Solanum lycopersicum: one gene and its partners. The protein of the gene in region 3 binds, or shares a complex with, the protein of the main gene of each other region. Links are inferred from orthologs where the notes say so. Each region holds a gene or a part of one and is shown on either strand. Other genes may lie near its edges.

Region 1 (3,971 bases), on a different chromosome or scaffold from region 3:
TGAAAGAAATAAGCATGTATTTTTTGGGCTGTGGAGTATATTTGTGTTGACAGAAAATCCGAAAGATGCTTTCTGTCTATGTTGCTCAGACTCTCAGTGGGTGTGTATCGGATTTTCCAAAAGTATTGTATTTTTGAAGAATTTGACACGGGTGCGGCATCAAAAGTGAAGAGTCCGCGCAGCTTAGCTTTCTGTTAGTTGTTACTTACAAATACTTTTCGATGCAGTTCTACCTGTTATGCTGTCATCAAAGCTGCTGCCAGAGATGGAAGTCGAAGATAATGCCAAAAGGGAGCAATTATTACACAGCATGCAACACCTATCGGTAGCATCCCAAATTGAGAAGTTGAAGGTGGAAAGCTCTGCAGATGCTATTTCTTCTGTTTCTGTATCCTTGTGGCTTTCTAATATACCTATAACACACAGGTTAGAATTGATATGATTGGAGCAGCATGTGAAAGTGCTGAGAAAGTCATAGCTGATACGCGCAAAGCCTACTTTGGAACCAGACAGGGGCCAACACTGCTTCCAACTATTGACAAGGCACAAGCAGCAAAAATTCAGGAACAAGAAAATTTACTTCGCACTGCAGTAAATCATGGTGAAGGTGATAATATTTATGTTCTGAGTTTTTTCCCAGAAACATCTTTTCTCCTTCTCAGAGTTCGTTAAATGTTTTGCTTGCACAAGACATTGACGCTAAAGATACTTGGACCCCAATGGTCCCTATGTTGATGTTTAATCTAAACTAAAAGAAAGAGAGAAGGATTCTTGCAAACTATCAGATCCACTGAGTGCCTTGTTAATCAGAAAATTGCACATATTTCTGATGACGAAGAAGGTGCAATTGCAAGTCAGATGCTTCAATGTGCTTCTGCTATGCATCACAATATATATGTACAATAAACCTGACATGTGTCTAGTGTGTGTAGCATCCCTTTGGTGGTGTTTGGCGGTACACTCGTTTATGATTTGTTTTAACATGTATGCTCACAGATTTCATGAAAATGGTACTTATGCAGGATTACGTGTACCTGGAGACCAAAGGCATATTACTTCTGCACTTCCTGGTCATTTGGTAGATGTGCTTACAGTGTCTGATGGCCCCCAGTCTTTCGCTGATTCATCCGGTAGCCTATCATCTATTGTTGTCCTACTGTTTCCACTTTATTTCATGAACATCTGACTAGAGAAATTGATGCTGTGTTCAAGTAGGGACTTATCTGAAGAATACTCCTCCCTTTCCATCGAGCAATGTTAATAGTCAGGGAGCTTTGTTACAGGTCAGATTTCTTATAATTTGCCTTGTAAATATGCCTTTTGCTTAAGGGATGAAGATCAATTTGAAACATGATTTTACTTCCACCCTCCGGCGTCCTGTAATGTTGTTATTCAAAGGAGCTATGAACAAAGGGACAAGTGGTTATCTTGTTAATGAGTGAATATCAATTTGGAACACATGAATTTTACTTCCACCACCCATAATTTTGTTACTAAAGGAGTTATGAATAAGGAACAAGTAGTTATCACACAATTATGCTATTCTATCTTTATCATTTAAAAAATTATGCTATGGTTTCTTTCTGTTTCGAAAAAAGGAGCCTTAACAAAGATAAGCGGTATGCCGTGTTACCAGGGGGTCACAGGTTTAGCCATGTGTAGGTCTCTCGCAAAAATGCAAAGTAAGGTCTGCACCTTCTCTAGTCCCAGGTATAGAGGGAGCCTAGTGAATTGGGCTACCTTTTTGTCGTCTTCTGTATGGTTCTACTATCTCTTTTACTGTTCTCGGGGAGGGAATTGTCATGCCTTTTTATTCCCAGTTCACTCTAGGTTTACAGACCTCTTTTTAGGTTGGCCAACCTGATTATTTTCACATGTTCCATAGCACCAAATGGATACCAAAAAACTGCACATCTTAGAATGGGTTTAGATCAATTAGTTACTGAAGGAGTTTACTAGGTCCACTATAGTATTTAATAATCATATACATGTTCTATGTTACACACCAAATACACTACCCTGATTGTAATTAATATCAACTACTGCATGTTCTTTGTATACTTACATCCTTGGTTACACATCAACTTCTCGTGCAAGTTGTAACGCCTGTTTTTTTTTTTTCTGGGGGTGAAAGAGCTGTAGGAATTATTTCCCTCATTTATTTGAATTTATTGGAGGATGGGAGATCAAGTAGAGTTTGCTATTAAATACTTATGTAAGAGTTCGGAGAGGAAATGCAAATCTCCTTCTATTCATGGCGCTAATCAGTAATATGGAAACAATAAATGATTAATCTGCCAGAAGTATACTGATCATATCCTTTTTCCATTCTTTCTCCTTAACTAAACATTACATTAAATCAATGTTCCCCAAGTTATTTTAATATATTGAGTCCTTATTGTCTTTTAAGTTCGTCAGTTCTAATATGTATGTATTGCTCTTGGAGTAGGCTTCTGGAGCACTTCGGGCTGCAGTTTCTCCTTCTGGGCCCACTTCCTTTGATACTACAACAGCATCACCTCTGCAACATGTCAACTCACCTAGGTCTAGTGCTAACATGATGAATACACCATCTCCTCAGCAACAGACCCATCAGCAACAGCAGCAGCAACAGCAGCAGCAGCAGTTGCAGCAGCATCAGCTCCAACAGAGGCAGAAAATGCTGCAGTTACCTCAGCATCAGCAGCAAATTCTTGCCCAACAGCAACTTAGGCAAGCCTCAATGCCTGGACTGGGGCAGGTACAGTTTGTACAAAAATCTTGATTGGTTTAAGGTATCTTTTTGTGAATTTGCACGACGTATAGCGTGCTTAGTATGGGCTACCTTACCATTACCCTTTTACTCATAAAGAACAGGCATATATCTTCTTTTGTTTCCTCCAATTGTCAGCTATGAGAATTGAATCCCTAGCAGTTCCTTCACAGAAAAGCCACTTTTTTTGGCCTTTAATATCCAACTAGTTCCATTAGGGAATCCACTGAGTCCTTTATGACAACCCGTAAATAGATTTAGCGGTGAGAGGGCCTGATGAATCACCATCCAACTGCGAACGCCTCTCATCTCGCAAAATTTACAAAAGTTGAAGGCTAAAATTGTTTACCTCATTCAACTCTTGAGTCATTATGATTCATTTAAAAGGTCCAGAAAAGAGTTCTCTCAGGCCTCTGCCACATCCCATGTTGACTTTTAACAAATTGGGAGAAGTCCTCCTAGTTGTGTGGTATCCCGTATCCCCATCCTAGCTGCTCTTTGATAAGGACTGGTAACTTGTCATCCCCATTTCCTTTCCACGTGTACTCCTCTGAACCATGCTCCAGTGCAATCTTTATCAACCCTTGACCTCCAATTAGGGATGTTCATGGTTCGGTTTGGGTCAGTATTGGTTGAAACCAAAACCAAATACATATCAATCAGTTTGGTTGTTGTTATTTGGTTTGGTTCAGTTTTAATGATACCTAATGATATTTCTCTCTTCAATTTTTCCCCTTACAATTAAGAAGGATTTTCCCATCCTTTTTCATCTTTGTGATGTCTTCCATTCAAAATACTTTTGATCATTCATCTAAAGAGGATTCTGGGTTTCTTTTATCCGAAGCGAATGCTTAGCCTATTTTGTGTTCTTTTTACAGTCAAAGACTGACATAAAATAACAAAGAAAATAGATTCATAAATTGGATCCACTGTTTTGATATGCTTAATGGTAAATCCTAGTATGTGAGGACAGGCCACTAGTTTTACAGCCAAGCTCCTGATCAACCTACAGGATTCCCAACTTCTCCAATAGGTAGGAATTTTATCTCATTTCTTCATCTACCAAGGAGAATTAGGTCCATTTCACCAATTAAAAAAGAAAATTGGGACCATTTCCCCGTAAAATTGAAGAGCAAAAAGTGCACTGCTTGCACTGATCTCTTTAAACTTGTTATGGTTCATCTCTCCTTATTTAGCATTCAGACAATTCATGAGGAGG
Region 2 (4,763 bases), on a different chromosome or scaffold from region 3:
GTTTTAGTGAAGAAAAAATAGGCATGATATTGGGGAAGTGTGTTTTATAGGAGATAGAAGACTATGTATCTCTAAACTTCTACTAAATTATTTTTTTAAAAAGGAAATTATGTAATGTTTAAAAAAAGAAGAGAAAATTAGAGAATACTAAACTTATAGTTGTGTATTTACGTTATTTCATCTAAATGTCTAGCTCAAATGAGGTAGTGCCTAATGTCATTGAGAGCGAGTACCCTAGGCTCGCTTTGCTTATTCAAGTTTCACCCTTTCTTTCAAAAATCAAATTAAAGAGGGTTGTTCAAAATAGATTCAAAACTAATAAGTCAACCACGAAACTGACTTATTAGTATTGGATTATCACATTAATGGTTGGTGAACGTATTAAAATTTAACAGTTTGTCGATACCGGGTAGATTACTCCATTTTTCTTATTGGATAAATTATTACTTTACTAAGAATTATTATAGTTATATTTTTACCGTAAGTATCGTTATTAATAAATACCTATGTGAATGCACCCTCAAAATTTAGTTTTTCAAATATTTCTCATTATGTATAATTAAAGAATTATCATTTATCTGCTTAAGTAGAGCTAAAAAATATTTTGTTTGATCGAAGATTGATATATTAGTGGGTGAAAGTGAAAAAGAAAGCATGAAACAATTGAGCCAATGCACCATTCCTTAATTACCAATCCGACATTAAATGAACCATTACCTTATTAGTTGGCTAGTGGATCAGTCTATTTAAAAATCAATATCCGACAAGCCAAATAATTAAGCATAACTATCCATCTGATCCGTCCAATACACAAACCTAAATTTTAGGTTATTGAAAATGTCCAAATAATATATATGGACTATGATGATCTAGTTGTATAAAATAAATGTGATATTTAAGATACAGACATCAAGCTATTAAAACACACTATAAAAAATGAGAGAATGAAAAGAGTGATCCTATAAACGAAACTAATTTGAATTTATGCTAAAGCGTTTGATTGCATAAGTGTCATATATCTCATAATGAAATTGACGGAATCTCCCTTCATCATTATACCTCAATGCATTATTTAATTTTAATTACGTGATAGTTTTTGAGGTTAAGGTATGCCTCCAAACATGAGAATGAAACTCCATATATTCAGAGATGTTGATCTTCTTCATTAATGTGAAAATAACCAGTTTAAAGCTTGAAAATTTGTAGTGAAACAATATTTGAAAATAATAGTTAAAACTTTTTGACGAATAAATAATGTAACGGTGCATATAATTATCAAATAGACGAAGCCATCATCACTTTAAGAAAATCAAGAAATGTGTAATTTCTTGAAAGAGAATTCTGAAACTGGGGCGGAGTAATAAGGGACTACGAGGACATGTTCATCTCTGGACCTGGACAAACAAGTGGGCGAATACTATGACTATAATAATTAGATTTCACTATTACGTGATAATTTTTTAAACAAGTATACCAGAAGTAAATTCGCAATGATTTATTAGACGCGTAAATCAAGAAATTTAAGTTTCATGAAGAATAATTCAGGTCACAGATGAATAATAAATGAATGATTGTTAAACACCGTTTTAAAGAAAAAATAAAATAATAGATAAGTTCTTACCGCTCAACAGATAAGCTCAAACAATATTTAGGCTTCACATACTTTGAAAGGTATATCAAAAAACGCAATAAAAATATTTTTTCGCACACTTAATAAATATTTTTATATGGAAACTTTCTAAATATTATATTTTTTTCTAAATCAACATGATTTAAGGAGATGAATTTTTATAAACTTGGTCAAATAGAACTTTAGAGGTTTTATATTAGTTTTGACTTCTCTCCGACTAGTAGTACCATATTCCAATTTTGCACACCCTCTCCCTTCCGCCGTTACGCGTTACCTTCAGACATCCGATCTATCAAAAAGGGAAAAAAAAAATAGAACAACACTCGCTTCATTCACTCTCTCTACAGGTCGGAGATTCATATTTTGTTTCAAATTCCACAATTTTTACAAACCCTAATAGTAATTGATTGTTTGGGCGGTCAATTTTCATTAAATGGCATTGTATTAGTAGGAATTCGGGATCGTCGGAGTAATTTAATCGGAGGGTTTTGCGGAGATGGCGGAATTAGGGCAGCAGACGGTGGATTTCTCGGCACTGGTAAGCAGAGCAGCTGAGGAGTCGTATGTTACGTTGAAGGAATTGGTGGAGAAGTGCAAGTCGTCTAACTTATCTGATTCTGAGAAGAAAATTGGGATTCTTAAATATGTAGTTAAGACTCAGCAGCGTATGCTTCGTCTCAATGTCCTATCCAAATGGTGCCAGCAGGTTGTTTTCTTTTTTTTTTAATCTATTCACTCCCTCTCTCATTATGTATGTTGATGCATTCAAGATTGAACACTATCTTTTTTTAATTTTTTAGATATAATGATGTGTTTTTCCCAATTTGTGACCCCCTTTATTAATCCAAAGGTACCCGTTACCTCCCACCGGCATAGGTACGGGGAAAATTTTCTTTCCAGGCTTAGGCAGATGGGGATTCTATGTTTGAGTTCTTTAAGGGTTATAAGAAGTGTGCCTTCTTTCTTCTTTGTTGAGGGGTGCGAAGAGTAGTTTTCGACTTCTAGGGTTTCTTTTGTTTCAGGATTTGTGAATTGGAAAGAGGAAAAGGAGAGGATTTTCTCTTTCTTTATTGATGCATTGAGAGAGTAGTGACAGAATGTATATTGGTCATGTATTTGTTTTTGTGAAATTTGTGAGTTGGAATGGAGAAAAATGGATCTTGATTAAGATTAGAAAGGTAGCCGTGAAATGAGTAGGGTGGATGTTGTTTTAGGAATTGGGAAAAGATGGACCACGAGGAGTAATTTAAAACTTAAAATCAGATAGTTAGGGTGGAAGTTCTAGTTATAGTGAATGTCGAGGACAATTGCCAAAAGAAAACAAAAGTTGAGGACAACTTCAAAGGTTTTAAGATTGTACGATGCTCTGTTCAAGTTGTACCAACAGCTTATTTGATGAAAGGCGGAATGATCCAAGAGACCCTTGTATTTGAATCGGATTGTCGATTAGACCCTTCTATTCTCGCCTTTTTTTTTATGACAAGGGAAACCTGGAGCCGCTGCCTTTTGGGTGCACATAGGGTAAAACCCCACTCCTATGCAATAGCTCGCAAACCACATAGGAGAGGTAACCCGCACCAGGCGACTCAGAAGGCAAACCCCCTTGCTTTCACATGCAAGGTGTTTCGAACTTGAGACCTCCAACAAAGCCCTTCTATTCACGACTTTGTCGACTGAACTTTTAGACTCAATGAAACACAATCTTCTAAACCCCTTTGACCCTTCAGATTTTTAATGACATGTCATTTATTTTTAACTTTATTTTGAAGTTTTCAATTTTTTTCCTTATTCACTCCATTTCTCCCTCACCGTCTCTATCCCTTGACCACCTCTTTCCATTTCTTACATCTGATATACCACCATAACTTTCCATCTTTATCGGTAACCACTTCCCAAAAAAATTAAAGACCTCCATTCTCCTCGAAATTTTCATCATTCACAACTTTCGATCACCTTTTTTTTTCAGCAACGCCTCTGTCCACCACTTAAACCACCGTGAAGACTGTCATTTTCTGATGAGATGGTAGAGAAGATGAGCAATCTGGCGATCAGTTCGTTGAAGAAGGGAGAAGATGAAGAGGTTTCCAATATACAAAAAGCTGAACAATTTTGCTCTTTGGGCAATTAACAATTTGGGTTTATTTTATTTTATTTTATTTTATTTTGTTTTGTTCTGGACCAACTTGTTTTGCACTATGTTTTTAATTATAATAAATTGATGACCATTTTTGGTCACGTTTTGACAAAAAAAAACCACCACTGTGAACTCCTCTTCTCCATTGATGCCAATGAACACCACTAAAAGACCTCAATATTTCTGGACATATGCACATAATTTTACACAGCACACACTCCACCTAATTCAAAGAATCACAATCACTCTTCACGCTCTAAAACTACTGGATCTTTGTCACCTAACAATTACGCCAAAAACATGGAAAGGAAGGACAAACCAGGAACAGTAGGACTTATCCCATTTCTAATCTTGGGAGAAAGAGTATGTGTAAAAGAAATAGGGTGGGGTGGGAACAATGGAACTGCTGTCACACCAAAAGAGCTATGAGTTTCCTGTAGATCTTGCTTCAAACAACTTTCTGTAGCATCATTTGAACCTTTAATCTTTGATTTAATAAACTCTTTCGAGGTATATGTTGGTAATGCTATGTACAAGGTTTGTCTTCATGTCTTTCTTCTCCCTTTCATGTCTTCATTTCTTCATCTGTCTTTTTCTGGAAGGAAAGATACACTTGTATTATATTCAGTATCTAGGTGAGTAGAAATATGGTTGTCAAATCTTCCTGGACCCTTAGAATCAACGGTTGGCCCTATATTCTTTATCATTGATCTCGTAGAAACTGCAGTTCAAACTCCGTATTTAAAGTACCAACACAATTATCTGGTTTGCAGGTCCCGTTGATACAATACAGTCAGCAGCTTGCATCCACTTTATCTAGTCATGATACATGTTTCACCCAAGCTGCCGACTCGTTGTTTTTTATGCATGAAGGACTACAACAAGCCCGTGCTCCCATCTATGATGTTCCTTCAGCTGTTGAAGTTCTTCTTACCGGAAGTTATGATCGTTTGCCAAAATGTATAGAAGATGTAGGCTTGCAGAGCACATTAAATGATG
Region 3 (4,768 bases):
CTTTGTCTTTCTTTATTTTTCACTTTATAAAAATTAAATTATACAAATTACGATGTATAATTTGTGTTATATAAAGCAAGAGAAAGATTTGATATACAATTGTCTTATTTTGATTTAATTGTATACAAATTCAAATTTTATGCAGATATACAAACACAATTATTGATATATAAATATAATAATTAAATATATATAATTATCTAACCGAAATACATATACAATCGCTATGCTTTTATAAAAGAGATAATTGTATAAAATGACAAACTAATAATATAAAATAAATATAGTAGCTATCCTTTAATTTATTTGTGTTCCATAACAAACTGTTTGTCAGTCTCTATCTCTCTCATATTCTCTCTCACCTCTCTCCTCTCTCGCTCGCATATTCCTGTCGCTCGCCTCACTCGCTTTATACAATAGAATTGTATAAATTGTGTTTCTACTTGTATAAAGTGAGAGAAGATTGTATAAATGCATGCAAATACATACATCTTCGTCCAATACACTTATAATTATACAATACAAGTATTTTTCTGTCCAAGTATCCCTTGCCTTTCTCATTGTATACAAATTCAAATTATATATAATTTTTCTCTTTCTCGTTTTATACAACTCGATTAAATTATATTTTCTCTGCACAAGTCTCTTTTTCGCCTTTCTCACTTTCTCGTTTTATACAATTCAAATTGTATATGATTTATCTCTTTCTCGTTGTATACAATTGAATTTTGTCGTTCTCGCTTTCTCGTTTTATACAATTCAAATTGTATATAATTTATCTCTTTCTCGTTGTATACAATTTGCTTCAATTGTATATATAACGAATCATACATATATATGTTTGATATAAAACGCAATAATGCGAATTTTGCTATAGCAAACAAATATGAATTTTATGTTTGCTATAGGTGAAAGTTGCCCTTTATAAAAACGAGGGCCTACCAACGATTTATACAAAAATCTGACACTCCTGTCAACGATATATACAAATCTGATGTTCCATATATAATTATAACTATAACATACAAATATAATTTTTATGTTTGCTAAACCTAAAATTTTACTCTATATTGTTTACACAATTTTTTTAAGGAAAAGTTTAAAAAAAGAATGTTTAATAAGAAAATAACATTTTTGAGTCAAAAGTAGCCATATGGTAATTTTTTGACTAAAGTTTTGACTATATGAATATCTTTGGGCAAATTACAGAAAATTAAGGCAAAATTATAATCTATTTCTTAAAAGTTTATAATTACAAAAATCTCTCAAAACGGATACAATAATATAACCACTGATATATTAATCTAATGCGTAAGATACATTAGTTTGATGTGCGAGATAAACTAATCTGATGCGCGAGATACTCTAGTATAATGCCCGAAGTACATTTTATACATGATATAATGTAATGTGCAGAATACATTAATTTAATGAGCGAAAATAAAAAATTTATAAAATTGATAAGTAATAATAATAATAAGTAAATTAAAATGTGAGATTTCCGTAATTAATCTAATATTTTTTTTTGCCTAAATTAATGAATAGAGAATATTTTTACTCAATTTAACATAATTTATTGAAGTAAAGATAAAACAACCTTTTTATCATAGTAGTATTGTTTGTTAATTTAATGGTTACCCCGTCTTATCACAAGCTCCCCCACTCAGCCCCAATTGAAAAACGTTATCAGTGATTTTGGCTTCCACACTTATAACAGTGTAGTAGTTTTAATAGTAAAATGAAAAGCCGAATAAATCCCCACTAGCTGGAATCTCCGTTCACATTCCTCCTCCCCCACTCAAACCCTAACCCCACACAGTCACCATAGTGATTCCTGTCGCCTTCAACTGGCAAAGACTTTTTTTCGGCCAACCACTTCTCTCTCTAACCCCTCTCTCTGCCTTTCTCTCACTATATACGTATACATATATAATTATATTATATATTAGGGTTTTTGGGCCTTTTTGGTTTATTCAAATGAACAATCAACAACCACCTGTTGCTAAAGATACTGAAGTGGAGAAGGAGGAAGAGTCTTCTTCTGTGATTACCAATTCTCTAGAACCTTCTACTAATAAGGTTCACGAGAAACCGGATATCATTATTGAAGACGACGACGACGATCATCCTGCTGCAATTGTGGCTATGGTGACGGAGAAGGAGGTCTCTTCTGTTGACGATGATCCCATGGATGAGGATACTGTCAATCCTGCTGTCGTCTTTTGTATTAGGCTCAAACAACCTAGGTCAAATTTGCTTCATAAAATGAGTGTTCCTGAACTTTGCCGCAATTTCAGGTGATTTTTTAAAATTTTGTTTATGCTACATCTCAATTCTGGCTACATGACTTAGAAGATGATATCAATATTTTTTTTCCTTATAACTAAAGTAAGGATACGATCGAATTTAAAAAAAGCAGAAAAAGTGAGATTAGTCTGTTAGAGGTTTACTTAGTTATGCTGGAAGTGGAGAACTTGTTGGAACTTCGCAGTTTAACTGTTGAGGCGGTGGAAGTCACTGAATTGAGTTCTAAAGTTGCTGTACGTTGAGCTCACTGCCTCAAGTGATAGCTAGTTGCTGATCGAAGTGTTGACTTGTTAGTCCGATCATTTGCCGACCAATACTATTATTAGAACATTCTGCTCCCAATATAATCATCACTAAAGTTTAACTTTCTAGATATATTATAAGGATTTGGGCCCTATAATTTGTTCATACATGCAGTAGTTCACCTATGCAAAATGAATTAGTCAAAAATATGTTATTTTTAATGAAGTTTCAGTGGAATATGGAAGATATGAGAAGAAAAACAGAAACTGCAGTCTCATTATGGTCTTACAGAACGACAGAGGGAAAGTTCAATGTTTTTTTTAGTTTCAGTATTTTTGTTCCTAGAGTTATTTCACTTTCTAGATAGAGAGAGAATCATCCTGGTAAGTGTAGTTGCATGCTAATCTGAGAAATTTCAAATTTGCTTTGCCATTGCGTCTTATGCCCTCAATGGGGTAATCATCTTCTTTTTTCTAATAAGTTACATAAGACGATAGGTTAAGTACCTTTAACAAGAGACCAGAGGGGTTTACTATGTTAGAGACTGAAGTACTTCCTCATTTGTTCCTAAATCTTAATAGAGGAGTTAGTTTTAATCCATCCAGTGAAGGGAACTTTAGAGAATAAGACAGAAGTTTCTCTATTTATCTTGCTACATTGTAGAAAGTGGTGAAGATTTTTTTTCTGAAACTGGTAACTCTAGTCTATATATCCACAGGTATACTAAAACAAAAGTGTAGTTCCCCTTCAAAAGTTTTACAACTTACAGAATAAAACAGTCTTAGTCGAAAACTGCTGCTTATAAACAATCTAGCACATCAAAGATATCTTCCGTCCTAGTTAATATATCTTGTTTACATCAAAAATAGAAAAGAGCTGAGCAGTCCATCTTGATCTTCTGTAAGCTATTCTGCCAATTTTCAAAACTCCTGCTGTTTCTCTCTTTCCAGATTGTCCACCAAATACATGCCGGGACAAGTTTCCATCTCTTCTCCTTGTCAGAAGCATTGCCATCTCTATTCCAGCTGCTCAGGACTCCTTTAATGCTCCCTGGTTTCACCCATCTGATTCCCTTTAGACAGATGCACATTCATTCTCCATAATTGTTATGGCCATGTACAATGCAAAAAAAGATGGTTAATTGTCCCAGCATGTTCTCCACATAAAGTACATCTAGAAGCCAACTGATAGCCTCTTGTCTTTAGATTTTCATGAGTCAAAACTGCTTCTTTTGTTAATAGCCACATGAAGTAGTTTACTCTGTAGGGTACTTTTGGTTTCCAGATGATCTTCCATGGCCATTCCATCTCCTGTCCAGCATTCTTGTTGAGTTTCTTATACACTGAATTTACTGAGAATTGACCTTTGGTATCATTTTGCCAAACTAATAAGTCCTTCTTATCAGTGAGGTTGCTGAAAGACCTTACTGAATCTTGAAATTCTGCCACTTAGTCAATCTCCCAATCCTGAAGGTTCCTCCTTAAGAACAAATCCCATCTTTGTCCAGTCCACATTGTAGCCACAGTGGCCTATTGATGTTGGCATAAAGTAAACAATTCAGGATGCAACTGTTTCATAGGGACAGATCCATTCCACTTATCCTCCCAGAAGGGTGTCTTTGACCCATCTCCCACTTCTACCTTGGTTCTGTGATATAGCACTGGCCATAGATTTCTGATTTTCCTCCATACAGTGCATTTATATGAAGTACTTATCATTTGTCATCCACATATTTTCCATGCCATATTTTGGTGACCTCTTTCCAGAGCATGTTATCTTCATTTGCAAACTTCCACAACCACTTCATCATTAGTCTCTGGTTTTGATTCCTTAGATTTCTTATGCCTAGGCCTCCTGTGTTTTTACTCACCATCAGGTCTTTCCATTTAACAGGAAAAAAAGTATCATTCTCAAAAAAAAAAAAGAAAGATGAAACTTCTTCTTATCTTCATTGCCTTGCCATAAGAAATTTCTTCTAAGAGCATCAATGCTATTAGATACATTGGCAGGCATAAGGAAGACTGTCATCATATAAGAGGGTAATGCATCCATCACACTGTAAAATCACTGTTAATTAAAGTCGATCTTCCTCCCAAGGACAAGTACTAACTCTTCCAGTTAATGAGTCTCTTTTCACATTTCTCATGTACCCCATTCCATATGTCTCTGGACTTGCTTTTAGCTCCCAAAGGCATACCTAGGTAAGTAGTTGGAAGCT
Region 4 (3,994 bases), on a different chromosome or scaffold from region 3:
CAAGTGATTAAATTAAAAATATAATTAAATTTTATGTATTAAATGTTTAAAATAGTTTCTCTCTATAAAATAATTTTAATATTAAAAGCACATCGATATTTGTTTTTTTTCGTAATTTGACTTTCAAAAACACTTTTTAAAAAAATTATTCAAACACAAATTGCTTATAAAAACACTTTTTAAAAAAATTAGTCAAACACATATTGCTTATAAAAACACTTTTCAAATGAATTTGCTAAAAAGTTTTTTTAAAAAACTTGTTTTAAGAAAACGTTTTTGAAAATAAATAGTTTTTAGATTAGTATATATTCATTTAATCAGCAAATGTATTTTTAAAGGGAAAATTGTATATAGCAAACTAATAACCTAAAATAAATAGAGTAGGTAGGGTTTGATTTAATTATGCTTCATAGTAAACGTTTGCAAAAAAATTGTCAGGCGCCTCTATCCCAAAAATCTCGTTCGCCACTCTCCTCCAATCTCTCACTCGCTTCCTCACTTTTTACACAAACACAAGTGTATAAAAATTGTTTCTAATTGTATAAAGCAGAGAAAATTGTATAAATACATATATTTTTGTTCCTCTCTCTCCCCTCTTCCAGGTCTCGCTCGCCACTCTCCCAAATCTCGCTCGCCACCCTCGCCTTTCTCACTTATACAAACAAAAGCGAAATGTATAAATTGCGTTTCTGTTTGTATAAAGCATGAGAAAATTGTATATACACATGCAAGTACATATATTTTCGTCCTATACAATTATAATTATACAATAAAAATACCACCCTGCCCAATTTCTTTTGTCTTTCTCTCTTTCTCGTTTTATACAATTCTCAAATTGTATCTAATTTCTCTCTTTCTCGTTTTATACAATTCTATTCAATTGTATATTCCTTGTCAAGTCTTTTTTGTCTTTCTCTTTCTCATTTTATACAAATTCAAATTTTATATAATCGTTCTATACACTTATAATAATGCAATTTGCTTTATACGCTTCGTTTTTATACAGTTCTCTGCCCAAGTGTCTTTCTATTTTTTGTTTTATACACTTCATTTTATACAATTTGCTTCAACTGTATATGTATAGAGAATTATATAGTTTCTATGTGTTAAAGAATGACAAAAAGTCCCACATCGGTGATTAATGAGATGAGTGAACTCCTTATAAGGCTTGAGCAATCCTCCACCCTTTGAGCTAGCTTTTGAGGTGTGAGTTTCCTTTTGAGCTAGCTTTTGGGGTGTGAGTTACGCCTAAGACCTAATTTCACACTATGTTGAATTTTTTGTTTGCTATATCTTTTTTAAAACCTTTATAACATATTAAACAAATAAAAAATTGAAAAAATGTTTTTTTTTAAAAAAAATATGCGTTAATTTAAGCAATATGTTTATTCAATTACATGCTTGTATGATAAAAATAAAAAATAAAAATTACAGGCAACAACTCGGAGCTGAGACTATCTCCGACCACCGGTGACTGCCGTTCTTCTGCCACTCATAGCCGCCGTTGAAGGTAAGGTATGATTGACTTCTCACTTGTAGATGCCGATATCAGACATCTCGCTGGCTCCTTTTTTAATAATAAGAAAAATATTTCGTGCCTGTGCGTCTTATATGTATTTGTATTTGTATCTGAGCTTTGTTTCACTCATGCATGATATGAAATATCGTTGTGCATTTGAGCTGAATTTGGGGCTTTTTGGTTCTTTCGGAGCTTCAGGGATTTGTAATTTGAGGACCTTATTTTTTTGGGTCCTAAATCCACTGCTTGCTTTAGTGGCTGGCTTTAGGGTTGAGCCGCTGCAGTCAGAGATATGAGTGATGAATTCCTCCAAAAAATGGAGAAGAGAGAAGATGACAAAGAGTTAATGAAGTAAGTGGAATATGAAATTAGTGAGGTTTTGAGAGTGTAGGACAAATTTGGAACAGCGAAGAAACATAAGACTATCACTGGTTGCTTGTTTAATAAACTGCAGATCTCAGGTTCAGGGCTATTGAACGATTCGAAAGAGCTCATTCGGAGTTGAGTGAATGGCTACTCCGAGATAGAATTTGAAAAATTGAATTCAAATTTATAAGACTATTGAACAATTAGAAAATTGCAAAAAACGAAATGATTCCATTTGAACAGTAAGGGGTGATTAATCAAGTCTGGCAATGGGTTTGAGTGTCGAAGGAAATAGCCCCTTTGCAGAAATGCTAGAGGAAGACGGTGAAATGTTAGGATTGCTCGTTTGATAATCAGCAGGTCTTGGGGGTAAAGGCGGAGCTAGGATTTGAAGTTTACGGGTTCAGTGTTCTAGTCCTTGATCGTTCGGTATGGGGGATGGAATAGACAAGGATTTCTCTCGTGGGATCAGCTATCCAACTTCTATATGGAATAGCCAATCTCAACATTTTAGAACATATCGCATGAGATTGTTATCCTGCATCTTGCCAACTACACGCAGGATAAAATAATCTCTTATAAATTAATAATTTATACATATTAAATAGATTTCTTAAGACAAATATAGAGTTCAGAGAAAAGTTGTTGATTTCGGCCAAACCCGTACCTTGAAAGAGTGTAGTAGGGTGGTAAGTTTAATGGACATAATACTTATTAGATGTAAGTTTTTCTTCTGTTTTCGGATTGATTACAGAGGATTTAGGTTTCTGATTGTTTAATTATTTGACTGCAAAGATCTCAGAACCAAAATCTCTGAAAACTGCACATAATCAGGTTTTATAGATTCTGTTTATTTCTCCACATCTAGATCGCTCTACGGCATTGCAATTCAGTAATCTTTTTCTCCTGTCCTGACAGCTTCCCTCAGAATACATGGATTCGCAAAGCCAGAATACTTCATTGCAGCGGCTGCAAAATGTTGAGAAGGTAAATGTTTCTACAGGATTATTGACTTAAGATGGGTTGATTTCAGTAGCTGCTATTCTTTGTCATCAAAATACTTAATGTTCTGATTTCAGAATTGATACTACAATATTATTCCTTCCTTGCCCGAGTCCTTGTTACTTGTTCCCCTATCCTGTATACCAAAATGTTTCAAGAAAGAAAGAGAGCGAGGAGAGTACTTTTTGAATTTAGGTGAAATCCATATTTCGTTGATTGGGTGAAACACATAGACAAGCTTGAAGATATATGGATGGTGTTATGCCTCGGTAAGGGACTCCACCATTGAGCTCTCCTAAGCCTTCTGGAGTTCCGGATCCTTCAATTTCTGGGACAACCGGACAAATGAAATGAATGAGAACAAGAGCCGCTTGGCTAGATAACCATGACTAAGAATTTCATGTCACCCACCTAACTGTCAAAATGGGCTGACCCAACCCAACTCAACCCATCCTCAAATCAGCCAAAATAATATAATTCGAAGTCAGAGAATGAAGATGGGAATAGTGTTGAGATGACGACAATGATGAATAAATCAAAGACGCTGTGGACCGAGAATAGGATCTGAAAGGGCTTTTCAAACTTCTGCTTCTGTTGGTTGCTTTCTTCCTGTCTGGCTCATTGAGTATCTTCCACAAACTCCAGGCTGATCTTCAACAGTTGGAAATCAAATCGTATTCGAGATCGTCCTGTCATATGCCCTGAATATCTACTGACACGAGTTTTCTCTGGTCTAACGGAAACAGCATCTCTGTTGTTTCCTAGTCATTGGTTTCTTCAGATTAAAAACGTGGAGATGATATAGCATGTCAAGTGCAAAGGCAACTAATCGTAATTTGATGAGTAAATCACGATCATAACTTTCAATGCGGAGTCAGTAATCACTTTTCTTGATAGAAAAAATTGTAACTGAAACATTACTCTCATACCTTCTGTTGCTGTATCTTCCTCTGATGCTTGCAGAGGATAGTCAGAGTTCTGGAGCTAGCAGGAGGTGTAATGGATGAAATGGCAAATCCGAGCGGCCCCAGGAAGGAGCTTATTAACAACCATTGTAGTGAGTTCATGCAACTAATCAAGGTAAGGACATACTTTACTTCTTTGCAC
Region 5 (4,734 bases), on a different chromosome or scaffold from region 3:
AAAAAAATCTTTCTTCTCAATATCAAAATTAAATATGAAATTAGCAAAAAGTTTATCTCAACATTCCACGGGCCTCTCCCAAAACTTCCTTTATTTTCTCTCTCCTTTCGGTTATTTATAGTTTCCCCAAGATTACATATGTGACTCATTTGGTGATGCTAGTAGGGCTCACTTAACTCATTTGGCAGATTGTGTTTTGCTCTTTAGCTCACTCTTCTTTTATTTCAAGCTTCATATCTTTGAAACTCAATTGGTGAACTTGATCAAGTCAACTTTTCACATTCAATGGATCACCGATTCCCCCTTGTATACTCTTTCAACTTTTATTTTTGCTCAAAATTATGTCACCTTTTGTGATTGACTTCTATTTCGCCCATTCAACTTCGGCGAATTGCCTTTTCATGTTTAGTCTGCCAACCTGCCTTGAATATTTAAAATTGTGCACACAGTCAACTTGGGTGAGGTCAGACCAATCAGGCGATCCACCATTTTTATTAGCCGACTACCAGTTGGAAATTTGTACTCCTTACAATGTTTTTGGCCCTATTTCCATGTATTCATCATTGCCTTGTCCTTTATCCTTCATACCTTAAAAACCTCAAAATATCATCAAGATAGGACATAAACAGGCAACGAGGACACTAATTGTTGAACTAAAAAGACCTCAAATGAGTGAAAATCTACCACTCATCATAGAGTTCAAGTGGAAATATAAACATGGAAAACAACTCGAAGATCTCGATGCATAATATATTGCAACTCAAAATTAAGAATTTAGAACTTGAAATTGATAACATAATTCATATCAAGAATTCTCAAAACTAAGGGTATTACCCTAGATTAGACTCTTATTGACTGAATTTAGATGTAGGGCATGAGGACGAACTCAGTCTATCAGTATGAATAACCTTATATACTTGGAAGACCATTTTTTTTTTAAGAAACGCAAAGAACTTGAAGAAGATGCTTGAAAACCCTACCTTTCTCATCATGGATGATTACTCTAAGTCTTGGGAGTGCTAATGAACGTAAAAGAGTTGATCAACAATGTTTAGCCCTTAATTAGAGGTAAAAATGTTGGGGTTTAAGCTTAGAAAGGGTGGGAAAACACTGGAATATCCCTACTAAATAGTGTGGGATCGACTCTATGGGTGCCACCTACAGATTATAGAAACTTCTATTGTTCGTACTAATCAACTATAGATCGAGTAATGAAGACTGAGATTTGGGTCAACTTTTACAAAGTCCTTCCTACGATCCGTAGGGCCCTCTCATAGAACCCAAAGTTCCTCAAATTTTTTCTAGGACACTCCTACGGTTCCTCTCTTTGAATCGCAAACCATTCTACAAACCATCTTGCCAGTCCGCAGGTCATCATATGAGACTTGACATTTTCCGAAATTCTTCATCTACTTAAACAACTTCATTTGTGAACAAAAACCACATAGAGTCCTCTTTTATTCTTATTTTTTTTTAATGTAAACTCCCAACTTCCAATTACGAATATACGTATTTAGAAGTAATTGTATAACTTTGGAAGAAACGATCACACAACGATTTGCAATGGAAGTTGCTTTTAGTACAGTAACTTACCATAATACAATATTTACCATAATTATTTTTGGTGTGTTAATTCTTATTGAGAATTTATTTATTTCCATATATATATATATAAATGTTAAATATTAGGGAAATAAATTAAAAAACAAACAAACCCTAGGGATAGTATTTACAAGTCAACATTTTGTGTCTTTGGCTGCTGCACAAAATTATTATTGTTAAAAGAGTAATATTTTATAAGAAAAGAATAAACAAGACAAGGTTGGACGTGGAAAGGAAAAATCAAGCAGTTGGTTAAAGCAGCGATGGTGGACAAACTGATCGTCGCCGTTGAAGGCACCGCTGTGTTGGGCCCTTACTGGAAAATCATCGTTTCCGATTACCTTGATAAAATTATCAGGTACTCATTTTCATACACTTAAATTTTCAGTTTTTGTTTTTTCTACTTGTTCCCATTTTTGTTTTAGTATTTCATCCTGAATTCAGTCATTGATTTTCGTTATTTGGATGAATTGTTGTATGTCGGCCGATTATCTTTCCCTAGTTTAGGATGGGGATTAAAACCTCAACCTTTACCCGAAGTTAATCAAAATTATGGTCAGAAGCTATTGAAATCCAACTCCTGACCTCAGCAGACCATAGATTCAAACTCGTCTACTATGAATACATTGAGTTGTTTATTTATTCAATTTTGTAAATATCTTTTACGGAAAATGCTGCATTCCGATGCTAGTAAATCATTGAGAAAATGCTGTGCTCAGGAGAATACCATTTCTCTATGTGATAATCATGTGCACATAGCATTTGAGTTTCTCTGAACTAATATGGGAAACTTTTGAAGCCTTGATACCGAAGTTTAACTTTGAAAAATGAAAATTAGAATGAATGGCTTACAAAAAGTCTAATTCCTGAAGGGAGGCGGTTAAAGAACTCGTAGTTGTTTGCAATGATTGGTATTTCCAACCTTTGCACTTTACCCACCCTTCCCTTCTATAAGATCTTTTGTTTACATGGTTCTCTCAAACCCTAAACCTAAGTTGCTCGTAATCTCCAAAAATGTTGCCGCAACCTTGTCGGATCCTCCAAAAATTTACTACTTTTGAAGTATCCGACATCCACCTCGTGACATTTTTAAGAGTCGAGGCAACAGCCTTAGTAACGTAAATCCTACTTACAATTTCTTGTTCACACAATTACTATTTCTCCATGAATTCTCTGGCAACCTTCATCATCTCGTATCTCTCTCATTTTTAATTTCTTAAGGCTCTCAATCAGTGATTCTTCTTTTCAAGTTTCAACAGCTGTGGTCTTTGTTTTTCAGAAATTTGGTTACTCTATTCTATCTCTCCACTTTGACTACTTAGCTGATTTATATTTATTGTGTTTAATTGAATTTATAGTGGCACCATAGCCTTGCTCATCTGCTTTCTTTAAAAGTGAGGTAATACTGCAGCAATAGACAATGAGGATGTTAAACAACCAAAATGTGACATCAAGAAAACAAAATATATGCATTTTACCCCCTCAAAGTCAAAGTGTTGGAGAAGATAGTCAAAGTGAAACCTTTAGGCAACACAAATCCGATGTTAATTATTTAGACCGACAAATTCCCCTCTTATTCTAGCAAAAATTAAATAGACCAAGCCCTTAGGTATACAGATAAGCATGAATAAGGGAAATATGATCATTTAATAGGAAAATGTTGTTCACCTTTTTCTCTTAACTTTTTAGTCGCGTGTTGATTAAGTCTGCGGAGCTTGGAATCAACAGTGTATTTTAATCTTCTGCATGGATGGAACTATTTTTTTGAAAGGATAAGTAAACAAGGTTAATTCTCTTTCAGAAGAGGCATTTCAGCAATAATAGTTGTTTAGAAATAGGCTTTTTAGAGTAAAACTGGATAAACGACTTCCAATTATATTACTTCCGTTCTTTGGTTGAAGGAAACTAAAAGAAGCCATGTTAATTGAATTATGCTGTTTAAGATATTATTGCTTTGCCAACTATTATGCATGCATTACAGTTATCTTTGTGGCATATTTTTCTCAATCCAATAAACTTATTGAGACCCTCAATTTCTTAGACTGTTAGTTGACTTGCTGGCTCACTACATTCCCTGCTTCGTAAGATATATAAACTCTGGAGAAGTATTAAATGCAGATTTTAAATTTAAAACTTAAGATTAACTATTGAGAAATCTTAAATCAATATCTATATTTGAAAATTTGGGCACAATTCGAATGAAGGATTTATTAAGATGTTTTTAATATACTGCCATGTTTAAATGGGAGTAGAGTCTATCCAAGACTACCAGGGAAAATCCTCCATCCATATGGTGTGGATGCAACTCATTTTGGTTATTTACTATATATAACCCTGTCCATGACAAGGTTGATTATATGCCACTCAAGGTCATGTATATGTTTCCCCTCTAGGGGCAAGCTCAGGTTGCTAACGAGAAGAATATGTTCAAGGGAAAAAATTATTGTAGTCAAGGAAAGGTACATTTGCAGGTTTCTTTTGCTAACAATTCTTGTTGACCACTGAGAGGGATAACTAGACCTGCTTTCTGACCTTCTATCGCTGGTCTACTTAATTATAGATTTCTATCGATTTTCAGTTAGGTTTCTTCATTTGAGATGCTTCTTAGTTCTTTCTTTTACTGGTATTTCTGAAAGGTGAGATCATCCAATTTTGAATTGATATCAGTTCGGTGTTCTTCTCAAATATGCTGAGCCGCACATATGCAAGCAAAAACACATGTTTTGTTGAGCAAATGACTGAGAATTCATCCTCCTTCACCTACTCAGCTCTTCCTTTTATCTTGCTTTACCATGGCTATTTATTTTTGTTTGGCTTTCTGATCGTTTAGCTGAAACAGTTGGGGAGTTTGTTTGGCTTGAATGGCTGATGCAGAAACCTCCGCCGAGTGGTTCTTCTAAATTCTGATGTTTGTTTAGTATTTGAATCAACACATGCATAAATTTTTTCATTTGCCAGTATGTTGTTATGGAGCTTGTTCATGGTTGTTCCATCCTTTCAATGAAATTAGATTGTCTTATAACTTTATATGATGATTGGACGCTTTTAACTGGCCATCCATATCATTTTTCTTTGATATCCTTATTTTCAATTTTTTTTCGTGGAAGAGTTTTTGGTTTAGATCCCTCTGAT
Region 6 (4,570 bases), about 1.5 Mb from region 3:
CTAAAATAAGTAGATATTTGCATAGGACACTTGGTGTTCTTGGGTATATACACAAATGATCCATCACTAAACACAGCTGAATTAAGAGCCGCGTAAAAATTGTCTTCTGGGGGCACAACTCTAAACAAATACTTCCTGACTAAATCTGGATATTCCCTAATAGCCTCAGAAATCGAACAAAAAATCACACCAGACTTCTCTAAGGTCTTCCTATGAGTTGTAGCAATAGAAACACTATCAAGAACAGCATCAACTGCAACATTTGCTAAACGATTTCTTTCATTCAAAGGAATACCCAATTTATCAAAATACCTAACAAGCTCAGGGTCAGCCTCATCAAGACTATCTAAAGTTGGTTTCTTTTTAGGTTCTGAATAATAACAAATATTCTGAAAATCAATTTCTGGGTACTGATTATCAGACCATTTCGGCTCTTTCATTTTAACAAATTTCTCATACGATTTCAATCTATACTCAAGCATCCATTCAGGCTCATTCTTTCTTGATGAAATTAACCTAATAGTATCCTCCGAAAGCCCTTTTGGCAGCGCAAAAGATTCAATATTTTCATTAAAACCCCATTTATAGTCTCTTTTCAAGAATTTCTGAAGTGGGTCGCCTTCATTTGAGATTGATAAAGATGATTCTTTACCTGGAACTTCAACAGTGGCCTTCGCATCAGCAGCTTTAATCTTGAAATTACCTGGATTTGAGATTTTGGGGCCGGGTGAATTAGGCAAAAAGTTATACCCTTTTGGGAGTTTAGGCTGCTCAGCGATGGATTGAGGACAGAAGTGTGAGATTCCGTTGGTGAGAAGAGAAGCCATAGTTGATGCTTAGAAGATAGAAAGAAGCAGGATGAGAAGGCAAACATAAATTTTATTTGTTTCTTTTTTAATTTTTTGTGGTGTCTGATCTAAGATGTCGTATGCTGACCACGTGCATCTTTTCAAAGCCTAAATTACAACAACAAAAAAAAAACAATTAAAAAAAATAGTAAAGCTAAATTATTTTTGTTGCATTTTATGTCATTTAAGCGCTCACTTGATAATGATAAAGTCAGACTTTATGTTGAAAGGTTTAAAATAAAAACAAGTAAATGTGAAGAGTTATGACTGGTGTTTGTGCATGTTACTTTACAAATTAGGACTGGTGTTTGTGCATTATCTATAAGAACGGTGAAACTCAGAAAGTGACGAAATTTACTCAGAAATTCAATGGCGTTCATAAGAGAAATTTGTAAAATCCTGGGGAAAATCGTATAAGAGAGAAAATCGTCTAAGAAAAAAAAAGGGAAATCGTATTATGTTTTAGAGAAGTAAAATGAATGAAAATGAGAAAAAAATTAATAATTAAGATTTATGAGTCTACATGGAGATGATGTTTTTTGGTGCTCATGTGGCATCCATATGGTGTCCACGTGGCGTTCAGGTGACACTTAACACACCTTTGTTAAAATTAAGGGTAAAAATAACTCAATACTTTAATAGAAGGGCTAGAATTTAATTTAAAGATATATGTGAGCTAATTCGGATAATTCAGAAATATTTTTGAGCATTTTTCGTAAAATTTAATTGAAATAATGGTTAATTTTAGGTCTAATTTTAAAACAATTGTAACAGATTATCGAATCTACTTCGGCTCTACCCGGACCTCCAATTCTAGGGTTTTCAGGTAAGTTCTTCTCCTCTGTTTTCTATTCCTTTGTTCGATCTTTTCTCAAAATTCACCATTTTTGTTAGCAATAAAGGGAAGGATTTGGAAGATGGATATCATATCACAGTTACAGGAACAAGTAAATACAATTGCAGCTCTTGCTTTCAACACCTTTGGTACTCTTCAGAGGGACGCCCCTCCTGTGCGTCTATCACCTAATTATCCAGAACCTCCACCTGCTAATCCCACAGAAGACTCAGCTAATGTTGCAGAACAACCAAAGCAAATGAGTGCTGCTTTTGTTAAGGCTGCCAAGCAGGTGAAACTCCATACTCCATACCTTCACTTTTTCTGCTTATTCATCAACGAATATGAACAAGCCACAGACCAGGGTATAAAAGTAATCTGCGTGTACTTCGAGAATAGGGAATTTTCTCTTTTTTCGGAAGATCAAGATAAACTATTTAGTTTAGTTTCCTTTTTTGTGTAGACATTTTTTTTGTAAATGAGCCTGAATAAGTGATTGAACTTGTAGAATCCCTTTAAGAATAGGAAGGTATATCTTTGTGTTCCCTGTAAATGTTGTTGATTGCACCTTCTTGGTGCTGTATTACAAATGCACTTACCATTCCTTCAAAAAATCATTTTTGGACAAAATAATGTTTCTTTTGTCTTCTTTTGACTAGTATGTTTACTTTTGGAAACGTCAAATCTTTAGATATATGATGTGTTTGTGCAGTTCTATACAAGATAACACTAAGTTGTATCTTGGCTCATCATATCTAATGCGTACATGCAGTTCTATACCAGATGATATTAAGTCTTTGTTTGTTCAGACTTGAGACCTGCGTGGTTGAGTTCAAAGACCTTAGTCCTGATTCCTGAGACCAGTGTGGTTGAGTTCAAATACCTAGTCTTTTGTCCTTAGTTTAACGAGAAATACAATAATGCTATTAGCATCACCAACTACTTCAATAAAACTTGACTGAATCACATAATGGCGGACAAATTCCAACTACTAGCTGGACAGGATTGCATGCCTCTAGGGATTTTTACTAGAGAACTTGATGTCAGCCTCTCAGGTTTGGTAACCATGACATCTAGGCCAAGACTCACCGGGTAAACCTGGTGTCAAAACCGGAAAACTGAGTTCTAGTTTATCGCCCTTTAGCTGTCTTCTATGAAATGTATATGGACAACCCTGTGATTAGTTCTAAGGTGTTCAAGTTTACAGTTATGTTTCCCTTGTTTTCTTCTTGGCCTCACAATCAGAGGTTGTCTAATCTAGCATCCTATCAAACTTAAGCAGCACAGCCGACACTTGAGAGTAGCCTTGAGGATTGTGTGGCTCTAATTCAGACCAATTGCAAATTTTCATTGTGATCCTAAAGTGTATGCTTTGCTACAATGTCATTGTATTAAATCTATCTTCTCTTTTTCTTATCCTTCTTTGAGCAGTTCGATGTGTTGGTTGCTGCTCTTCCTTTATCGGATGGGAGTGAAGAAGCCCAATTGAAAAGAATTGCAGAACTCCAGGTATATGCTTCTTTGTGAATAATTGGTGGAATTCACTTTTTGACATCCTCTAATTCTGATGTGTTATAGCTTAACAGTATTTAAACTAAAAAAATAAAGAAGGATAAATAAAGATTAGTCTGTCTATTTTGGGCTTAGTAGTCTTACTCGGTTGTGTATGTATGTGATGTAGGCTGAGAACGATGCAGTTGGCCAAGAACTTCAAAAACAACTGGAAGCTGCAGGTAAGAGTTTGTTTTTCCCTTGCTTTCTTTCTGAAAGATAGTGGAAGCTGTTCTGATTAGGCTAAGGTCCAAATTTCCGTTTTCCTGTCTGTATTATTAATTTTTTGTTTATTCTGAGACTCAGTTTGCTGATTTTGGTGATTTAGAGAAGGAGCTAAAGCAGGTCCAGGAGTTGTTTAACCAAGCAACAGATAACTGCCTGAACTTGAAGAAGCCAGAATGAATAAGGTAGTAGATATTTCAGTTTGCTTGAGGAGCCCATTCTTGCTGGAATATACCCTGGAGGAACAACAAATTGATTGTGTCCATGTCTGTTATGGGTACATTTATTAACTAATTATAATTAGGCATGCTCTGACATTATTTTTTTTTTAAGTTCTTGGCCACTGCTGAAGAAAAGAATTCAGTATACTATTGTATCTGGTTTAGAGCTGTGTTTATAGAATGAAAAGAGGTAGGGATAATGTGCCTAAATAGCAAAAATCAGCAGTTTTTTTGTCTCCACATCCTTAAATATTAGTGTCTTCTGTGCCACGTGTTCAATTTAGAAGTTGGCTAGTTTCTCTGCTCCAGCACTTGTCAAAAGTTATGCAATTATCAGACTGACTTCGTAAACATGTGATCCCAAAACATGGCAGCTGGCATGCACAACTACCCTACCGAGTTGATGATTTTAATTCGTAGACACATTTTGGGCTGTGTCTGGGTACTTTGGGAGTTTAGATTGCATATCGCCAGAATATTTTCTTGTCGTGCTGGAACTGAGGCGTGGCCGAAAACAAGTAGCAACCACACAAAATATATAGAAAACCTTGTCTGCCTAATATGTAAGCGTGACAGCAACGAAGAGAAGAATTTACAGCCATCGGGGTTTGTTGAATGCTAAAATTTAGATAGAACGTGGGTCCAACTATGACTGGTAGAAGGACTCAACCACGTCATATGACAATTGGCATCAATACATGAATGAAGAAACTAACGCAGGAGACGTATTGAAGACTACAATACATAAGACATTTTTATCAAAATAAAACTATCACGGAAATCATTCAGACGATTGCAATTATTTTGGAGGAAACATTAGTAAGAATTGCTATTGAAAGGTGAACCAAAATGAGCAACGAGCAAAATAGGGTGTTCAGCATTGCCAGGAT
Region 7 (4,661 bases), on a different chromosome or scaffold from region 3:
CAGCCAATTTATTGGTGAACCACGTAAATCTGTTGTCTTGTTTTTCGCGTTTATATTTTCTCGTATTATCTCAAATTCCGCACAACAAAGGTATTTTATAGTATCATTATTGTTTAAATTTTTATTTCATTTAAAAAAAGGTTTTTATAAAACTCATCAAATAAAAATGACACGTAATCATGACAAGCTGGAATTTTTATATAATAGGTGACGTGGCAATTGGCAAATTGCCATAATACCAACCACTACTATAAACACATCATCAAAATATTAAACTTGTATATTTTGTTATTTTGTTTTTATACTATACTTCTTTTAGTAGCCTAAGGGCACTAAAATAATTAAGAATTACTAGCAATAATGTCTTTTTGATTCATTGAGGAGGTGTATCAACTTCGATCGATGACGAATTTAGAATTTAATTATTATAAACTATAAGTTGAGAGAAGGAGATTTAAATTGTATATTTAATTATATTTATAGTTGAAATTAATTAAACATATCAATGATTTAAATTTAATTGCTTCAAACTTTTAGATTTTTTTAAATAAAAAATTTATTGTTCTTTTGTATTATGAAATTATATAAATATGAAATTAATTGATTTTCTTAGTTAAATTTTACATGTATATTAATGCATCGTCAAAAACAGAATTGAAATAAATCTATTGTCAAAGAATTGCATATGCTACTACAATGTTCAAAATCAAATCATTAAGTTTTATTGAATCTATGAACTCGTGATTAGACCGATCTGTTACTGTAAAAATAATCCTTAGCCGCCAAGAAAATAATGAAACTAAGATGTTTATTGTAATGTATATAAGTAAAATTTATTCACCAATCATATTTATTTGAGTTAATATATGTAATAATATTTTTAACTGTGTTATTTTCAGTATGAAAGTTATGCATGAATATAAGACGCATAACTTTTCTGTAGACCTAGTTACTATCGAAACTACAAGACGATTTGCTAACTATCGAACCTTTTTGAATATTTAATTGCATGATTTTCTTTTCAGATAGGTTGATCTTCAAATTTTACCTTTAATAATTGATAATTGCACGATTTTTCTTTTAAATAGGTTGATCTTTAATAATCAAACTTATACCTAGCGGTACATAAGTTCTTTAAGGGCACACGTGCTATAACTTATGAGATATTATGATTAAAAAAAATCTAAACTTACGTCCCACCAAAAAAGTTATTGATTTATCATAAGAGACAAAAATTGAAATCAAGTACAAATACGATAAAAGCGCAAATAACTCATTTTTTGACGAAAAAATTACATGAATTAATACATTTTAAAATATAATTACTGATTTTAGCTATATTTTTTGTTTATTACCATTTATAGCAATACTGTAATAAGTCTGTAATATGTATTAAAAGTGAATTATGTATGCAATATATATGAATTCTAATTGTTTTTGAAATATATTATGTTTGTTTGGTAAAAAATTGTCGCATTGTACTATAAGTGTATTAAAATGTGTTATAAGTGTATTATCTATCATTAAAACTTGTATTACATGTGAATAATAAATTGTTCTGTGTAATATGTATTAAACTTGTATTATAAATGAATTAAAAGTGATCAAGCGAGTACATTTACGTAAGTTTCCCTTTTTTGACCCACCAAACCAAACATGAAAGGGCCATAGTGTGGTTCGTAATAGGCCCATGATTTAAGCCCAGATCTTAATAGGCCCATACATTAAGCGAACCAAACCCCAATTATTTTCGACGGGTATTTTCCCCGATTTAGGGCACAATTCGGGATTTCTCCGACACTTCTTCCCGGAAAATCTCCCTGAAAAATGAACGGCAATCTGGAGATTTCCGTCGACAAGCTTCCGATCAAGCGTTTAGAGTATATTGAAGAACAAGGCGCTGAACGCTTCCCTTCGTACACTTTCTTTCTCTCTCTATATAAAAATGTAGAATTTCATGCATAATCAGTTTGTGAGCTGGATATTTACATTTAGATTTTTCGTAATTGTTGCAGTGATATAGGATACGATGAGAAAACGGTGAATTTGATTAGGAGAATTGATTTTGCGTGGGCAGTGGAAAGAGAAGAGCCAAGTAAGAAGCAGAAGAAAAGCAGTAGTGCTACTTCTTCAAAGGAGACAAGTAGCAGTCAGCCATGGCAATGGCAGAGTTTGGTGGAGAATTTGCGATTGGCTCATCAAGAGCTTCAAGTCATTATCGATCTCATTCACACTGTAAGTGTTAACATTAGAATTTTGGCTTATAATTTTAATGATTGAACTTAATGTCTATATAGTTTTGATAGAAAATAGTTCAAATTAAGTTTTAATTGTTCTGATATTTACATCTGGTCTGGTGTTTGTGTGGTGTCTGGTCAAAGACTAATGTGTGATAATTGTGAGATTTTGAGAATAATGAAGTTGAATAGAGAAAAAAGAATGGTGAGCAGGTTATAGGTTTGGGATTTTATTCTTTTTGAGTTGATGATTTCTAAATTAGTAATTTGTACTTAGTAAATGGATTGCATATGATACCTACAAAGTGGGCTAAAACTACTAGGTTCTGCTGAACCTGCTTCCCACACTCTAGCTCCGCCTTAATACGGAGGTTTAGTCAATGCCAACTAGTGTGCGATTGAGGTGTCGGTTGATTGATTGATTATTTGTTGGTACATGTTTAGTATGTCTTGTGCCTAGCTGGTTGTGTTCCATGCACTTACCATAAGAGGAAAACTTTGTGTTTTAGCCTGATAATGTGCTTGAAAGTGGAATACATTTGTCTTATGCTGTACTCATTATTGGCCAATTGAGTTTTTGTGGCATGCAGTTTTAGACTGAATGATACAGAGTAGTGTTTGCATCATGGATAAATGTTAATAAAATTTCATCTATGAGAATAGAGCACACTGGTTTTATTCCAATGTTGAGGTTTATCACGAGAGTGGGTTGGAACATTTTTATTTAGTTATCAATATTAGTAAGGTATGAATCTAATTCAGAAAATACAATAGAGAACTGTAAAATACACACATGTATGATCGTGAATGTACTTGAAAAGTGGTTAGAGAAAGAAGATCAAGACATCTTATTTACAACAGAGGAATTATTAACTACCTCTAAGTTGTTCCAGTAGGGAATTTCATGTGTGCGTGATAAAGAAAGGCCTTTTGGAAGGTGTAAAGTTGGATACACCACATATTGGATTTTTGAATTGAATCAACGTGGCTTTTCTAAATTGCAATAGCTACACGAGTATCAAGCTACTAAGCCACACTATGGAAGTCTGGGAAAGGGTGGTCGAGATGAGGATGAAGAGGGGTGTGTCAGAACCAATTCAGCTTGAAGCCATGAAAGGAGATTGTTTGAGCAGTATAGGGAGAAGGAGAGGGACTTGTACATGGTGTTCATTGACCTAGAAAAGGCATATGATAATGTCCCTAGCATATCATTTACTCCTCATTATCAGTATGATAGAGACAACTAAGGATTAAAAAATTTGACTTAAGCTTTCGGCATTAGTTATTTAAGTGGCATGAGATTCGTCAGTCCATTTGCTCCTTCAATCCCTTTTTGCCCCTTCTCCCTGGCATTTAAGACAGCACCTTTCTTAGGCATAAGATGAATAAATTAGCAGGAACTGTGGATTATGTATTGCATTGTTGACTCTGCTGTTCTGCATACAGGTGGAGGCAAACGATGCAGTGACAGTGGCTGGCATGACCAGGCCAAAGCAATTGCCCAACGAGCATCTGTCAGACCTTGCCGTGTCTATGGCAACCAAGCTGCAATGCTTCCGTGTATTTTACTTTATCCCTTCTGCAAGATGTTATGGTTGATGTATAAGTTTGAGTTAAACAAATAATCCACTGATTATCTTTAAGTCTAATGGTTTGTTGACAAAGTATAGTTATGCACTTCATTAGCAAAGCTGTATGTGTTTCGTAATTTGGCTTTTCTTTTGCAGCATTTGGGGAAATATTTTAAGCAATCTGCCAAAGCTTTGGAACAACAAGTGGCTAGAGAAGCAAGATTTTATGGTGCTCTTATCAGGTTTGTTCTTTGTGGCTACGAACAGTATTAGTACATTGTGAAAGATATGTGTGCAGTCATTTAGACTACCATGTCTTTGTGCCTTTCCTCAAAATTTTGGCTATTTCCTGATGAGCTGATAGATTGCAGCAAAATTGGAAGGTTAAATGGCATCGGATGGTTGCTGCTGCTTCTGGAAATGAAGGGTTTTACATTGATTTATTTGACACTTCATTATATGATCCAGCGGTTGCATTTCGCCCATCTTCTGCATCTGTGGTGCGTATTGAGCATGACCCAGCTGGGATGCTGGCTGTGAATTTACCGCCAAATTCCTGCCGGACTCTTCAATTTGAGTTTCTCGGTGCAAGTACACCTGCTGGTGTTATAAAACATAGCAGACTGAGACCAAAGGTGTCTTTTGAGGATTCTTCTGGAGAAACTAAGAGAGAAAAAAGTGATGATGAGCATGTGAGAGAAACTCATTCGACACTCCGTGAAGTTCACCGAGCAATCTTTGATGAGCAGGTATATTTCTAGGTTCCCTCCTTTCTCTTTTTAGTACCCTTTGAGTTTTTCTTATTCATTTTTGTGACCTACTTCTGTTTTCTGATTATTTTCTTGGTCCTTGT

The links.
Region 1: mediator of RNA polymerase II transcription subunit 16 (region 3) and mediator of RNA polymerase II transcription subunit 8 share a complex: the UniProt entries of both Arabidopsis thaliana proteins name them as parts of the mediator complex. The link is inferred for Solanum lycopersicum from reciprocal best matches to the Arabidopsis thaliana genes SFR6 and MED8.
Region 2: mediator of RNA polymerase II transcription subunit 16 (region 3) and mediator of RNA polymerase II transcription subunit 14 share a complex: the UniProt entries of both Arabidopsis thaliana proteins name them as parts of the mediator complex. The link is inferred for Solanum lycopersicum from reciprocal best matches to the Arabidopsis thaliana genes SFR6 and SWP.
Region 4: mediator of RNA polymerase II transcription subunit 16 (region 3) and mediator of RNA polymerase II transcription subunit 11 share a complex: the UniProt entries of both Arabidopsis thaliana proteins name them as parts of the mediator complex. The link is inferred for Solanum lycopersicum from reciprocal best matches to the Arabidopsis thaliana genes SFR6 and AT3G01435.
Region 5: mediator of RNA polymerase II transcription subunit 16 (region 3) and mediator of RNA polymerase II transcription subunit 25 share a complex: the UniProt entries of both Arabidopsis thaliana proteins name them as parts of the mediator complex. The link is inferred for Solanum lycopersicum from reciprocal best matches to the Arabidopsis thaliana genes SFR6 and PFT1.
Region 6: mediator of RNA polymerase II transcription subunit 16 (region 3) and mediator of RNA polymerase II transcription subunit 21 share a complex: the UniProt entries of both Arabidopsis thaliana proteins name them as parts of the mediator complex. The link is inferred for Solanum lycopersicum from reciprocal best matches to the Arabidopsis thaliana genes SFR6 and MED21.
Region 7: mediator of RNA polymerase II transcription subunit 16 (region 3) and mediator of RNA polymerase II transcription subunit 17 share a complex: the UniProt entries of both Arabidopsis thaliana proteins name them as parts of the mediator complex. The link is inferred for Solanum lycopersicum from reciprocal best matches to the Arabidopsis thaliana genes SFR6 and AT5G20170.

Annotation. Positions count from the first base shown.
Region 1 is NC_090802.1:67,515,939-67,519,909, forward strand, and holds part of mediator of RNA polymerase II transcription subunit 8, read left to right. Parts: intron 1-227; coding exon 228-352; intron 353-426; coding exon 427-607; intron 608-1,022; coding exon 1,023-1,130; intron 1,131-1,212; coding exon 1,213-1,283; intron 1,284-2,449; coding exon 2,450-2,740; intron 2,741-3,971. UniProt on the Arabidopsis thaliana protein: Component of the Mediator complex, a coactivator involved in the regulated transcription of nearly all RNA polymerase II-dependent genes.
Region 2 is NC_090800.1:84,077,877-84,082,639, reverse strand, and holds the start of mediator of RNA polymerase II transcription subunit 14, read left to right. Parts: upstream 1-1,802; 5' UTR 1,803-2,126; coding exon 2,127-2,336; intron 2,337-4,537; coding exon 4,538-4,763. UniProt on the Arabidopsis thaliana protein: Component of the Mediator complex, a coactivator involved in the regulated transcription of nearly all RNA polymerase II-dependent genes.
Region 3 is NC_090801.1:59,381,682-59,386,449, reverse strand, and holds the start of mediator of RNA polymerase II transcription subunit 16, read left to right. Parts: upstream 1-1,646; 5' UTR 1,647-1,977; coding exon 1,978-2,297; intron 2,298-4,768. UniProt on the Arabidopsis thaliana protein: Component of the Mediator complex, a coactivator involved in the regulated transcription of nearly all RNA polymerase II-dependent genes.
Region 4 is NC_090803.1:5,625,740-5,629,733, reverse strand, and holds the start of mediator of RNA polymerase II transcription subunit 11, read left to right. Parts: upstream 1-1,194; 5' UTR 1,195-1,510; exon of another isoform or gene 1,511-1,515; intron 1,516-2,803; 5' UTR 2,804-2,818; coding exon 2,819-2,872; intron 2,873-3,850; coding exon 3,851-3,967; intron 3,968-3,994. UniProt on the Arabidopsis thaliana protein: Component of the Mediator complex, a coactivator involved in the regulated transcription of nearly all RNA polymerase II-dependent genes.
Region 5 is NC_090811.1:29,982,363-29,987,096, reverse strand, and holds the start of mediator of RNA polymerase II transcription subunit 25, read left to right. Parts: upstream 1-1,707; 5' UTR 1,708-1,865; coding exon 1,866-1,960; intron 1,961-4,734. UniProt on the Arabidopsis thaliana protein: Component of the Mediator complex, a coactivator involved in the regulated transcription of nearly all RNA polymerase II-dependent genes.
Region 6 is NC_090801.1:60,839,715-60,844,284, reverse strand, and holds mediator of RNA polymerase II transcription subunit 21, read left to right. Parts: upstream 1-1,765; coding exon 1,766-1,975; intron 1,976-3,114; coding exon 3,115-3,192; intron 3,193-3,364; coding exon 3,365-3,416; intron 3,417-3,540; coding exon of another isoform or gene 3,541-3,548; exon of another isoform or gene 3,549-3,562; coding exon 3,563-3,639; 3' UTR 3,640-3,920; downstream 3,921-4,570. Other genes in the region: iron-sulfur cluster assembly SufBD family protein ABCI8, chloroplastic, read right to left, coding at 1-827. UniProt on the Arabidopsis thaliana protein: Component of the Mediator complex, a coactivator involved in the regulated transcription of nearly all RNA polymerase II-dependent genes.
Region 7 is NC_090811.1:1,513,372-1,518,032, forward strand, and holds the start of mediator of RNA polymerase II transcription subunit 17, read left to right. Parts: upstream 1-1,718; 5' UTR 1,719-1,827; coding exon 1,828-1,916; intron 1,917-2,015; coding exon 2,016-2,235; intron 2,236-3,683; coding exon 3,684-3,797; intron 3,798-3,964; coding exon 3,965-4,050; intron 4,051-4,172; coding exon 4,173-4,557; intron 4,558-4,661. UniProt on the Arabidopsis thaliana protein: Component of the Mediator complex, a coactivator involved in the regulated transcription of nearly all RNA polymerase II-dependent genes.